Coturnix japonica: one gene and its partner. The protein of the gene in region 1 binds, or shares a complex with, the protein of each later gene. Links are inferred from orthologs where the notes say so. Each region holds a gene or a part of one and is shown on either strand. Other genes may lie near its edges.

Region 1 (7,739 bases):
TATTTATAAGGTTTTCTGATTAATCCCATTGTTTTCACAAGCCTACATTATTATTATTTTATTTAGTGGTTCTTTGGTAGTTATTACCTTTATTACCCCTCTGAATTTTATGGTTGCAGAGGTTTCCAAACCTGGTCTTTTACAGCTGTCTCTCTCACTTGCTCTCAGCTTCTCCCTGTTTACCCATTTAGCATCTTCCCTTCTTCTCAATATTTAGCTGATGATAGTCCAAATTATTTCAAGAACTCTTAGTGCTGCTGCCAGGGAAGCAGTAGTTCCACCTTGAAATAACATTACAGGAGGAAAGATACCACAGGGATTTCACAGACAAAACATGACATATGACTGAGCAGGACTGCTCAAGCAAATAAATGGTAAGACTGTTTTTCTATTGAGCAATCATGTGGCATATTTCATAACAGCAAGAAAGGAGGCAGAGAAAAGTTGTTAAATCAGAGTAGCGAAAGAAAAATGGAAAGGAAGGACATATTCACACAATTCATCACTACTGCCAATACCACAGTCTATTTCTCTTCAGCAGACATGTTTATGGGTTTGCTTCCCAAGAATGAAAACACGTTAAGTGTTCAGCCAAGAGATCCTAAGGCTCAGCTTCCACTTAACCTAAGTCTGGATCTTTAAGCCACCGTGCTTTGATAAAAGGTTCTAAATATGATATAGTAATAGAATAGTATGAAACTAATCCTCTGAATAAAATCAGTTTAATATGAAAGGACTAGTCTTTAACACAGGAGAAACTGCTGCCAATTTGTGCAATTAATAAAATCATAAGTCAGCAATAGAATGTTTACTATGAAGAGAGAAAATGTGCTTGACAAACCTTTAAGTTTGGATGCTGAAGCACAGTCATTTTGTTCTCTGTGGACTCCAGATCCATTTAGCTATCAGATGCAATGAAGCATAGAGTGGTGTTTGATCTATATTCACATTATCTAATATCATACAATAAGTGGCACTGAAAGCCACAGGACATATCTTTCAGAGCTGATAATTTCAGTATTTGGGGATTACTAATGGAAAATTATGGATTAGAAATGATATCAGTGTATGTGAAGAATTCAGATAACTAAAGTATCACATCATCATCATAGTATCATAGTCTCGTGCGGGTTGGAAGGGACCTTAGAGATCATCGAGTCCAACCCCCGGGATTCGAGCCTCCTGTGTAGCAGAGCGGCACTTCTACCACTTGCACCACAGGGGGGATTCGAACCCTGGGCCTGCGGTGTTGCAAGTGGCATTCCTACCACTGTGCCACCAGGGCACACGCAGTACTAGAGAGTATTCCAATTAGATAAACATTTTAATAGAGATACACCTGAATTTATTCCCCTCCCTCCCCCCCCTTCCCCTTTTATTTTTTTAAAGTGCTGAACAACCTGTAAATTCTTTGTAGGAGTTTTAAAACCACAAGTTACAGAATTTTAAATTGTTAATAAAAAAGGGGGGACAGGGTAACAAAATAAGAATTACTTTTCAGCATTTATTGTTCACATGCATATGAAAGAAACAGACTTAACAGACTTAAACTCTTGCACTGGTCTTGTTATAAATAATATAATTAAAAGATAAATCAGCTGTAAAATTCATCAAATTAATCTATTCTACAAACACATTTCCACAAATTAGAAAGCCGGAAGGGACTACTCTAATCATCCAGTCTGACCTCTTGCATACTACAGGTCAGACAACTTTTCTGAATTAATTCCCATTTCAGCTGGCACTTATCTTTTAGAAAAGCATTCAATCATCTTGATTTTCAAATATACTGCTAAAATGACTCACTTTGAGAAGTACTTCCCCAGTACCAGATTTTTGTGGCTGAAGCATATTCTAGCTCAGTTGATTTCTTCTCACATTTCTATGTATCTTCATCTTTTTCTATAGGCATACATCAGTTATCACACAAAGTTTTCTGCCTACAGAATTGTGATGGTGTTTGTGCATAGCTGATTATCGCTAATTTTTGGATAACTTGCCAGCTTCTGCAGGGTCATTGACTGATGAGAACAACAGAATCCAGCACTGACATCAGAAATACATGAGCTCAGTGATGGCTCTATGTTCACTGTTTCATTCTGGAATCTGTTTATTAGCCACTTTTTAACTTTTATAATGTGTGGCGTATTGATTTTTTACCATATATTCTACTTGATCAGAATGTACTGAACCAATAAGAGTAAATGTTTTACAGCACTCTAGGAATAGCACATTTGTGCTAAACTTATAAATGTGTATAATCAATCATTTATGCCTTTATCAATCACACTTACAATCTAGTTGGAAAAAAAAAAAAAAAAGAGCTCTAGGATCTATTTTTCATTAAACCATGTTGTTTCTTAATATTTGTCTTTTTATTCAATTCCTTACTACTGCTGAGCCAGTAGTATGGGTCAACTTTTTAATGTATGAAACAAGCTGAAAAATGTGTATAGCTTCCTTCTACAGATCACCAAATGGCCATATTCTGTCTGCTGTAAAGACCACAACAAACTCCTTAAATGTGTCTCGTTCTGTGTGACAAGTAAACCTGCATTCCCACATTCTCAAGAGAGCTTAAATGTCTTTTCAATATTCATACATTTACTGATAGAACCTCAGCTGTTTTCATTAGTTGAGGAGTGTATAATCTTTATTTATGAGGTTTGCAGTATCTACCTTTCTAGTTTGTGTGAGGTGTTGATCTTACCTCTGTATCCAAGTTTATCTCATTTTTTAATATCTTTGTCCTAAAAGGTTCATGTAACTTCCCTGTGGAATAGAAATGGGATTTTTTTCTTTATTTTATGGAAGGAAAGCTGTATTAAAGAGAGCAGGTTTATAAAAATGTGTGCCCAAAGGCAACATCTGGTAGAAGAATGCTGGATTAGACTTTGAAGGCATTAGGGAATCCTGTACGCTTATGAAGGATTCAGGAAGCTAAAGCGCTGTCTAGAGCTAAGCACTGTAGTGTTTATGAATATCTGGCTCTCTCTTAAGTTTATGCGTTGGAAGTACAGTCAAAGCAGAGTCACTTTCCTCTGGAAGTGCAGATAGATACTGAACTGAGTGAGATGTATCATTTCATAATGGAAATGGTGCTTATAGCAACTGAGATTTTCCCATTCATCTGTTTTAGCCAGTGCCCACTAGAGCTAGGTGTTCATGAACATCTGGCTCTGTGTTAAGTTTATTCATTAGAAGTAGCATCACACAACTTTCACAAAGAGACAAGAAAGTCTCGTTTTTCATAGCTCCCTTTATCCTGTGTGTCCTCTGCAGCAGCACGTCGAATTCACGTCCTTTCCCCTAGAGGTGATGCTCTTTCACGTCCAAACGCGGAAGAGCTGAAAAGTGAAGCAGTGGATTCAGAAGAGAGCATTGCAACCGTCTGGATGCCTTTCCCCTCGGCCGCTGAGGCTGCGCTCCCTGCCCGCCCGGGGAAAGGCAACGGGGCGTGTGGGGCCGGCTCGAAGCCCCAGCCTGGTCCCGCATTGGTTCCCGAAGTTCCCGCGTCATTTTCTCCCCACACCCCGCTTGGCACTGGCAATCACAAGTCTCAATGGAGGGGCGGGAGAGAGCTGTGGAGCGCTGAGAGGGTTCCTCCAGCCCCCCGGATCACCACCAGGGATGTCCGGGACTCAGCCCGAGGATGCTTCGCCTCCGTGCAGGAACTGGACGTCCTCTCCAGAGCTGAATGAAACGCGGGAGCCCTTTTTAGCCCCATCCGCCGATTACGACGATGAGGAGTTCCTGCGCTACCTCTGGAAGGAGTATTTGCATCCTAAGGAATACGAATGGGCGCTAATAGCCGGATACATCGTCGTGTTCATCGTGGCTCTCGTCGGGAACGTGCTAGGTGAGTCTGGCTCCCGAAGTTTGCCCAACCTGCCTTCACTCGCGGGGGAGATTTCGCCTCTCCCCGCTGCAAACCGCGGAGAACCGGGCTGCAGGGAGGGGGCTGCGGACCCCGGGGCGGGTCGGAGCTCGGAGCTCGGAGGGGCCGCCCGGGTAGAGACACCGCGGGCTCCGTCGCTGTCCGCGAGATGAGGTGCTGAAACAACGCGCCCCGGCTGCGGCCCCGCCTCTCATTCCTCCCGGGGCCGCCGGTTCCCCTCGTTCCCCGGGCTGGAAATCAAGAACGCGGGCATTTTCCAGCGGTTGTCTGTTTCTACAACCGTTTCTACAATGTTTTCTAACGGACGGGCACTGGGGAACGGCCTCGGGTTGACAGACGCTGGGGAGCGGTCGCGGGACCTCGCTCTGCAGCGAGGGGCCGGAGCGGCTGTCCGCCCTCAGGTCCGGTAGTTGGCGGCTCTTGCGCAGCCCCGGCGGCGGGGGCGGACTCCTTCCCTCCGCTCACCCCCCCCCTCCCCGCTCCCATGTACCCGTGTGGGAGGCGGCGGCGGGGGGCTTCGCCGCTTCCCCCGGGCAACGCTGACGGGGACAGGCGGGGGCCGTGTGGGGGCCGGGGGTCAGCGGCTCTGCGCTGCTCTTGGTCCCCCGCCTGATCTGTGACCGTGCCGTGACAGCCGTCCTCGCCTCGGCGAGGGGGAGATGGCCGCGGGGGTCCCTGCGCCATCCGGAGCCGCGCGGAACGCTTTGAGAGCGATAAATAACGTCTTTGTGAATGAACGTGCGCGTAGGGAGCGGAGTATGCCGTGAAAATCCTCTCCACCAGAGCCACGGCCATTTGCATTTTTCATTCCCATCACTGACATTCTCATGAACGGAGCGGCTCACTAGCGCCCAGCCCTGCCATGTGGGCCCTTCATTCATGAATTTCAGCACGTCATGCGCTCTGCCGGCGATCCAGGCTTCCCGAGGCACGATGCAAATAAAGCTTCAGCCAAAGACAACGTTTTTCACGGCTCTTTTTTATTTTTCGATGGACTGATGGTGCTATTTTTGTCTGGAGCTGCCGGTAAACACCTAGAGTGTACTTTGGCCAACCCATGGAGCCTTCACCACAAAGGCTGTGTAACAGCGTGTGTGCTGGTCAGCTGCTCTGCGCTCACAGTGAAAGACAGCTGCCTTCGCACAGAGCCTGTGCTTTGTACTAGAATGAAAAGTGCCTCCCGTCTGATCCTGAAAGAGGACAGCTTTTAGAACTGTCTGTGTTCAGCCGCCCCCCACTACCCATTCTGCAAACAAGCTGTCCTCTCGCCTTTCAATATTCAAGGTCAAATCTTCGGCTATTGGAGCTGTTTACACTTTTTCTTTTTTTTCTTTTTTCTTTTTTTTTTTTTCTCCCTGAAGCACGAGAAGAAAAGATTTCCTCTCTTTTCACTTGCAAACAGAGACAATATCATTGGTTCTCCTCCTTGACATGCCTACCTTATCTTTGTGCCTAGGGTGAAAGCTGGCATTTAGCTGTCCGCCCACCTCTCCCTTGGCAGGACTGCTTCTATCCAAGCCATTTGCCTTTGTGTATCACACAGATCTCACCCTTCAACAATGCTACCACTGTTCACTACCAGCTTGTTGGGATCTGCAGGTGCAGGTGCTCATTAGCTGAACACTGTCTCATCTTTATGCAAGAAAGCTGATTGCAGGTTCATTGGTTTTTGAGGAGAGAAACTGATGTGCTCTTGCCAAAGACATTTTTGTGAAACCTTGTTTATTTGATCAGCAGTGAAAATCTGAGAATGGTTCGTGTTCTTAAGTATCCAAGAAGAAAAATTTCCTGCATGAAAAGTTCTTACTTAAGGTTAATCTGTAATTTAATCTTGGATCTCCTCAAAGTAAACCAGATGCAGTTTTAGTGACTAACAGTGTTTCAGTAAAGTTTTAGCACTTTATCACATCATCCTTAATGATGTAGTACATTCCTCTGCTTAGATTTGACTAATGCATTTGGACTAGTGTGAGATGAGAAGTCAGAGTTTTGCTTGCATTTGTCCATATTTCACACAGTTAGCACTTTGGAAAGACCCTTGAAAATCTTAATATATGGTTATCATTTTCAATTGTGCATTCACACAGAATGAGGTCACTCACTGTGCTCTCAGAATGACATTTGTGCAAGTGGAAAGCACAGCACAACCCTTAGGTATTAGTAATGAACTACAGTTAAGCATTCTGACACTTAATTAACAGCTACGGTAGAAAGTTCGAACTTTGATTGACATTTACTGAGCTTTGGGCTGATCTGCTCTGCAGGAATTGTCCTGCTAATAGTAGCATACAGCAAGATCTGCATTGCTATTTTGCTTCCAGTTTAATTAGGAGAGTTGACACACTCTGTCCAAACTGCTGCACAAACCAGCTAAAATGAAAGGTGTTTGCAAGCCTCTGTGTTTGAATGCAGGTTTGATTACAGCATTCAAGTACTTCACATCAGTAATTCTTGTGTGTGCCCACTCTAGCTGCTCACCAGTGATTTCACTGGAAGCCACTAAAAAGGAACAGATTTGAAGGTTTTGAGACATTCAGATAAACTGAAATCATGGTGATAACATCAGTATGTTTTGTCCTGTTTTCTTTTTCATTTAGGCATGGTTTATCAGTAGAAGCAGAACAGTCACTGAGGATGAGGACTTTCTGTTTTTCATATAAGACCAAAGTATTCCCTTACACAGAAACAAAATCACAACTTCTTTGCAAAGCTAGAGGAAACCAAAGTACTTCTTAACAGTTGACTTTGAACTAATCGTCTACTTCTTCTCTATTTAAAACAAAAGTGCTTGAAATAGAAATGCGGGAAATTAAAGAAGGAAAGATATACTTAGTATGCATGGAGGTCACTGGTTATGGGCAGAAAGATTCCTCATGAAGTAGTTGCAGTGGTTAAAAACTGGAATAAGACTAAAAGGGATAAATAAGTAATGTCCAGCCCCACCAATTCAGCTGCAATTACACAGATAAAGAATGGGAATAGTTCTCATTTAATGTATTTATTCAAGTAGGTCAGAACTTTTCTAATGAAATGTTTTTCCTCAGGGAACATGCACTCATCACAACCAAATGGTACGGCAGAGATCACTTGATGTGTTCAAGGAAAGGACACAACACAAGCAGCCTTCTAGTGTCCTGCCAGCCGGGTTGCTGGCTCTCTTGGCACTCTCACTGCTGGCAAGGGCTGAGAGCCTGAGCAACCTGCCAGCACCCAGCATGAAGCTCTTCAGCACTGCTGGCTTCTGTGCATTGGACACCATGCAGAATATCATCCAGAGGACTCAGAAACCTTATTTATTCACAAAACATAGTGATATTTGTTTCTTTTTCCACCTAAGAATTAAATCCTGCCTAACTGACAGAGAACTAGTCTTCTCTGGATAGTTCTATTATTTTCCATCTTTTATAATAATCTCTTTTGCCATGTTATAGTGACATCAGTACAGAACCCAACTGTGGTCTCTTCCTCAGAGTTCACATTCTGATTCATAAACTCAGCACCATTCATTTGATGTTTACCTATTATTATTTGATTTTAGGACTATTTTCTTTCTGAGTGTAGAAGAAAAAATTGAATGTAAGGTTTTAACAACAAACTTCTAGTCAATGCTATCCGTAGGCAACTGTAACATTTCAGTGATTGCTCTGTTATCACTCCCCAGGTGTCTGGAGAATACTGAGATCTATGCGTACATGAAAGTGTTGGCAGAACTGGATGAGCCATGCATTCCTGTAAATGATGCCATGATCTTCATAGAACTACAGGATCACAGAATGGCTTATGTTGGAAGGGACTTTAAAGATCATCTAGTTCCAATTCTCCTGCCATAGCCAGAGTTGCC
Region 2 (5,515 bases), on another chromosome or scaffold:
AGCAGTGCATCCTGACGGTGGCTGCATGGCTGCTGCACAGTGACAGCGCACCCAGTGTCACCCTCAACCTGGCTGAGCAGTACCCCCCCATGGAGGCACAGGGCCCCATCCCCGACCTGCTGCGCAAGGTCCTCACTGCCTATGAGACGGTAAGTGCCAGCTCAGGGTACTCAGGGTCTGTCCTGCTCCAAGGTGTTTGCCTGCAGCTCTGTGCACTGTGGTGTCCCAGGATGGGTCCCATCCCGGAGCAGGGATGGCTGGCTGGGAGGTGCTCTGCAGGCAGGGGGGGTGGGGAGCACGGAGGATTCAGGGTTGTGCAGCTCCTCTCACTGCCCCTCTTTCCTCAGATGATCCAGACCAGCCGGACGCTGATCGAGTCTGCTGACGTGGTGCACAGCAAGCTCATCCAGGCACAGCAGGCAGGTGGGTCTGGGGGTGCTGAGGGCTGTGTGCAGGGTGCTGTGCCTCTGAGCTGCCTGGGGACACTGTCCCCATGGGGATCTGCTCAGAACAGCACCAGGCTCTGGAGCTGTGCACAGCAGTGTGCTGGCATTTCAGTCTGTGCATTGCACACCTGCAGTGTATGGCAGAGTGCAAGTGGTGTGGGTGCCTGCCTGGCTCCAGAGAGTTTGTAGGGTCAGCCCAGGGCTCAGCTCTTTACCCTTCCCATGTCCTGGCAGTGCTGTGAGTGGTGCAGGGAGCTGCCCAGAGCCTGCAGTGAGGGAGTGCTGCTGGGGCTGGGGGGCTGGGGGGGGCTGGGAGGGAGCGCACAGAGCGGAGGAGGTTGATGAGGAAGCGGAGAAGAGTCATTAGCTGCCAAACGCCAGAATATAATTAGCATCAGAAATAACAGACTGAGGCTGACGGTAGAAGTGGCAACTGAATGTTATGACTTAAAAGACACATGGCTGAACCCACACAGGCAGGTGCTGCTGGCAGCCTTACCTGGCCCTGGGCCCCAATGCTGCCCAGCACTGCTGCCCCACTCCCAGCACCGTGCTCCTGGTGGGCACTAATGGGCAACGCCAGGATCCTGTGTACTGTAGAGGCAGCTGTGGCTGCTCCATAGCACTGCTGGCCCCAGGGCTGTGTGGGGGTAACCCGTGGGGCTGGAGGGCTGCCGGACACTGTATGGGGTGGGGAGGAGAGTGTCCACGCTGTGCCACACTGACCCGTGACAGCTGCTGCCAGCAGCCCTGTTTATTCTGTGGATGCATCGCCACATCGTCAGTGATGTGGAGCACGGCAAGGGGGCTGGGGGTGCAGGCTGGGGTGGGCTCTGCATCTCCTGCACTACTTTGGCTGTGGGAGCCCTCTGCTGTGCTGCAGAAATGAGCGCTGCCCTGTGTCCCTTGTTCTCCTTGGGGGCAGAGGTCTGGGATGTGCTGACCCCTACACTGTGGTCCTGCAGCCATGACCTCCATTCACTCCATGGTGCCATGGCTGAGCCACAGCATTATGGGCGCTGTGGGGAGGTCTGGGGGTGCCGGCGGCAGGGCTGGGGGTGCAGGGAGGGGGTGTGAGCTGATTGGCAGTGTGTGGGTGAGCAGGCGTGTGTGGGAGCCCTCGTGTGGGCCCAGAGACAGTGCTGCGTCAGGGAGGGGTAAATTTAGCACCCGCTCACGAGGACATCATGCGGTACAGTGTGGGGGCACACGCTCCAGAATGGGGGGGGAGGGGGCAACAGCTCCTCTTTGAGCCCCTCTGGGTGGGCTGCAGTTATGGGGGGGCAATGCCTCTGCCTGGGGCCACTGCAGCCCATCCTGATCCTATGGGCTTTGGGATCCAAAGCCAACAAGGACTGGGGGCAAGTTGGTGGGGGCTGTGCTGGAACATCATTCTCTAAGGGGAGGAGGCTCAGGGCTGCTGAGGCTGACCGTGAAGTTCTCTGTTGGGTGAAAGACACCCCATCCCCATCCCCATCCCCATCCCCTGTGGCAATGGCTGTCCCCACGCACGGTGGTGCTGAGCACGGCTCCATGTGCCACATGCCCAGGTATGGACTTCCACAAGGAGCTGCACCGCATCGAGGCCAAGGAGGGGCTGCGGGGACGGAAGCTGCAGAAAGCACTGGAGAGCTTTGCCTGGAACATCACCGTCCTGAAGGTGAGAGGAACATGCTCCTGTGCTCCTGTCCCCCACTGCTGACCCTGCTGGTGTGCAGGGAGGTGGGACCAGCATCAAAAGATGCTCCAGAAGCACAGGCTGGTTGTGGTCCATGATGAGCCGGTGCCCAGTACATCCTTGATCCCCTGATGTTTTCTTCCCCCGGCAGGGCCAGGCTGACCTTCTCAAGCACGCCAAGGCGGAGGCGTTGGACAACCTCTGGCAGATCCACAACGCTGGGCAGTCCTGCGGCATCGGCAGGAACGGTTTGGCCTCGCCGGAGCCCTCCCGGCTGCGCGCGCCGCTGGAGCCCATCCCTGAGGCAGAAGGAGGCAGTGATGCAGCGTCCTGCTGACCCCAGTCTGGGGCTCAGGCAGCCCCCACAGAGCAGCCACTGCTGCAGGAACAGGGACTAGAGAACCTGTGGCACAGTTGGGGATGGGAGCAGGAAGGATGCTGAGGGGCTGAAGTGGGGCCAGCACAGTCATTTGCCTGCACTGCAGGGAACTGGGGGGGGGCTCACTCCTGTCTGTTCACTCTGACTTCCCAGGCCTCTTCCATCTGCTTCCAGAATGGGTGCTGTGCAGTGGGGCCAGAGGGTTGGGCTGCTGGCACCCAGCTGTGTGCGTGCACCCCCAGCCTGCTGTGCCACCCCCCTCCCCATTAGAACCGCCCCAGCTGTGGGCTTCGGCTGTCAGGGCTGCAGATTCTGCCTTTGCTGGCCCTGGAGACAGCCTGCATGGCCGGAAGGGGCTTGACCGACCCCTGTCCCTTCTCACAGGGTCTTCCCAGGTATCCTCAAGCCCCTGCTGTGCAGAGGGGCTGGGAAGGCACCTGTAGAACAGCTGGCAATGGGTCAGGGGCTGTGGGACCACTGCAGAGCGGAGCTGCTGGGGGCTGTGTCCTCTGGCATCAGGGAACTTATCCCGGTCTTGTCCCACAGGGGAGCACACCGCAGGTGTGGGCGGTGGGTGAGGGGTGGTCTGGGGCTGCAGAGCGCTCTGTTTATAAAAGTGTGTGAGACCCACAGCGTGTGCTGCTGTCCCTGTCTGTGCTGGTGGCAGTGGCGATGCGGGCACCGTCCTTCTGCCGGTTCCATTTGCACCGTCCCCGCGCGTCATCGCGGTTCGCAGCCGGCGGCTGCCCGGCGCCCCTTTGTTCGGGCGGTAATTAGCCTAATGGGGCCACGCGGAGCTGACCTGAGAGCTGCCGTTGTTGGGAGCGGTTGGCGCTTTCTCCGGCTCTGACCTTCACGCGGCTTTGTGGGGCCGCGGGTCCCTCGGGTAATTATGGCTTCATTAGTGCCGCGCACCCCGGTCCCGCGCCGCACCCGCATAATACAGAGCCACAAATGAGGGGAAAGGCCTGACCGGTCTCCAAGCTACCGACAACAAAGAGCGCGCATCTCCCGGAGACCGGACGGTATTTTTGGCAGCGCTATTGTGCGGGGCCGGGGGCCGGGAGGGGCCGCCCCTATAAAGCCCCGGTGTGCGGCTCGGGGCGGCCGCGCTCCTCAGCCCCAGCGGGACATGAGCCAGCACCGCTTGGCCACCTGAAGACACCCAGAAGGATGGAGGTGCCCAATGCCAAGGTGGGGCTGGGGGTGGGCAGAGGAACTGCTGGGGTTTTGTAAGGGCTGGGCCGGTTCCCTTTTGAGCAGAGGTCGGGGGGCTCGGCCCTGTGTGGGTGCGGGGCACACGCTGCATGCGGCACCGTGCTTTGGCACGAGCCATGTGTGGGTGCTCCCAGTTCCTCCTGCAGCACTCAGCGATGACGGGAGGGTGCTGGCTGTGTCAGCACAGGTAAGTGTCGGTGAATATACCTGCAGCCAACTCCTGCTCACAGTGTGCTTTTTAGGCTGGGTTTTGGGGGCAGGAGCGAATCTCCTTGGGGTCCCGTCTGTCCCTGGATGTGCCCCAGGGGGGTGATGCTGTGGGTGCTGCAGCAGCGGAGATGAGCAGGAAACCTGCAGGGTGGGGGCTGAGCCCTGCACCAACGCGGCCGTTCTCGTGCAGCTGCAGCGATCCGCCTGCCTCCTGCTGCTGCTGCTGCTGCTCTGCTCCCTGGCCAGGGCCCGGCAGAGTCTGCCCGAGTGCTGCCGGCAGAAAACCTGCTCCTGCCGTATCTACGACCTCCTGCACGGCATGGGCAACCACGCCGCCGGCATCCTCACGCTGGGCAAGAGGAAGAGCATCCCGACAGCCTTCCAGAGCCGGCTGTACCGCCTGCTGCACGGCTCCAGCAACCACGCGGCGGGCATCCTCACCATGGGCAAACGCGAGGAGCGCCCCGACGCCGCCTGCCGCGATGCGCTGAGCTGCGCAGCGGGCGCTCAGCAGGCGGCGACCCCGAGGGGAACTGCGGGCAGCCCCAGCGAGTGCCAGGAGCACGCGGAGAAGGACCTGACCAAGGGCTGGGGAACGGCAAAGAGCTTTTACTGAGATGGGCTGCGGGGTGGGGGGGATCCGCGGGGGGCTCGGTGTCAATGGCACTTCTAAATACCTCCTTGTGGCCCTGGCCAAGGCTGCTCGGCGTACTTGGCCTTTTACAATAAACGGTAGCCTGATGTCAGCCGGCCTCGTCCCTGCAGGAGCCCGGAGGGCTGTGGTGCTGCTGCCCGGCCCGAGGATGGATCCCGCCCCTCCCGGGGGCCGTTGCAGCCGGTACCGAGCGGGTCCCGGGGCAGAGCCGCGCGCAGCCGAACAGCTGCCGGTGCCCGTCGGTGCCGAGACCCCCCCGGTGCCCTGGGCGGGGCTGGGGGCGGAGCCGGAGCCCAGGGCGGGCCGGGCCGAGCCGGGATTACCCGCGCCGTTGGGGGCAGCACCTGCGGAGGGGTCCTGGGGAGGCGGTGCTCGGTCCCGCAGCCCGGGGTGGGCGGCCCGGAAGGACGATGCCAGTGATGAAGGGTCTGCTGGCTCCGCAGAACACCTTCCTCGACACCATCGCCACCCGGTTTGACGGCACACGTACGGCTGCGTCCCGGGACCGCGGCGGAGGGCGGGCAGAGGGAGGCGGTGCTGCTCGGGATGACTTCGAAGCCCCCTGGGCTGGGCGGGTCGCGGACCCCAAGCTGTCTGTCCCTCGGCCGGGCTTCATCTACCCCGCGACGTGCAGCCCTCGAGCCGGCCGCGAGTGTCCCGTCCCCTTGTCGGTGTCCCCGGGAGACCTTCCCGGGGCTGACGGGGGTCTCCGCGCCCTTCCTGCACTGATTGCCCCAGGAGGGAGCGGGAGAAGCTCATGGCTCACCGTGCAGAGGGCAGGGACCCACTCTGCCCCAGCCCCAAATTCCCGGTGCCCAGTGTGACAGCTGCAGCCAGGTCAGGAGCCCCCCAGGGATGGGAGCAGGGTGTTGGGTACTACACTGGGAACCCCTGGCACTGCGGGATGCCCTGGGATGGCCACGTAGCAG

What was found.
Region 2: the proteins of HCRTR2 (region 1) and HCRT are in contact, whole or in part, in a cryo-EM structure (PDB 7L1U), measured with the Homo sapiens proteins. The link is inferred for Coturnix japonica from reciprocal best matches to the Homo sapiens genes HCRTR2 and HCRT. Residues at the interface, in NP_001371201.1 of Homo sapiens: Thr111, Val114, Trp120, Pro131, Gln134, Thr135, Val138, Gln187, Val209, Cys210, Asp211, Phe227, Thr231, Ile320, Ser321, Asn324, Lys327, Arg328, Phe333, Ala334, Thr336, Arg339, Val342, Tyr343, Phe346, His350, Tyr354; in NP_001515.1 of Homo sapiens: Asn89, His90, Ala91, Ala92, Gly93, Ile94, Leu95, Thr96, Met97.

The regions. Positions count from the first base shown.
Region 1 is NC_029518.1:80,004,700-80,012,438, reverse strand, and holds the start of HCRTR2 (orexin receptor type 2), read left to right. Parts: upstream 1-3,125; 5' UTR 3,126-3,630; coding exon 3,631-3,859; intron 3,860-7,739. UniProt on the Homo sapiens protein: Nonselective, high-affinity receptor for both orexin-A and orexin-B neuropeptides. Triggers an increase in cytoplasmic Ca(2+) levels in response to orexin-A binding.
Region 2 is NC_029542.1:4,470,221-4,475,735, reverse strand, and holds HCRT (orexin), read left to right. Parts: upstream 1-3,250; 5' UTR 3,251-3,676; coding exon 3,677-3,697; intron 3,698-4,121; coding exon 4,122-4,547; 3' UTR 4,548-4,677; downstream 4,678-5,515. Other genes in the region: GHDC (GH3 domain-containing protein), read left to right, coding at 1-149, 348-423, 1,997-2,106, 2,276-2,461. UniProt on the Homo sapiens protein: Neuropeptides that play a significant role in the regulation of food intake and sleep-wakefulness, possibly by coordinating the complex behavioral and physiologic responses of these complementary homeostatic functions.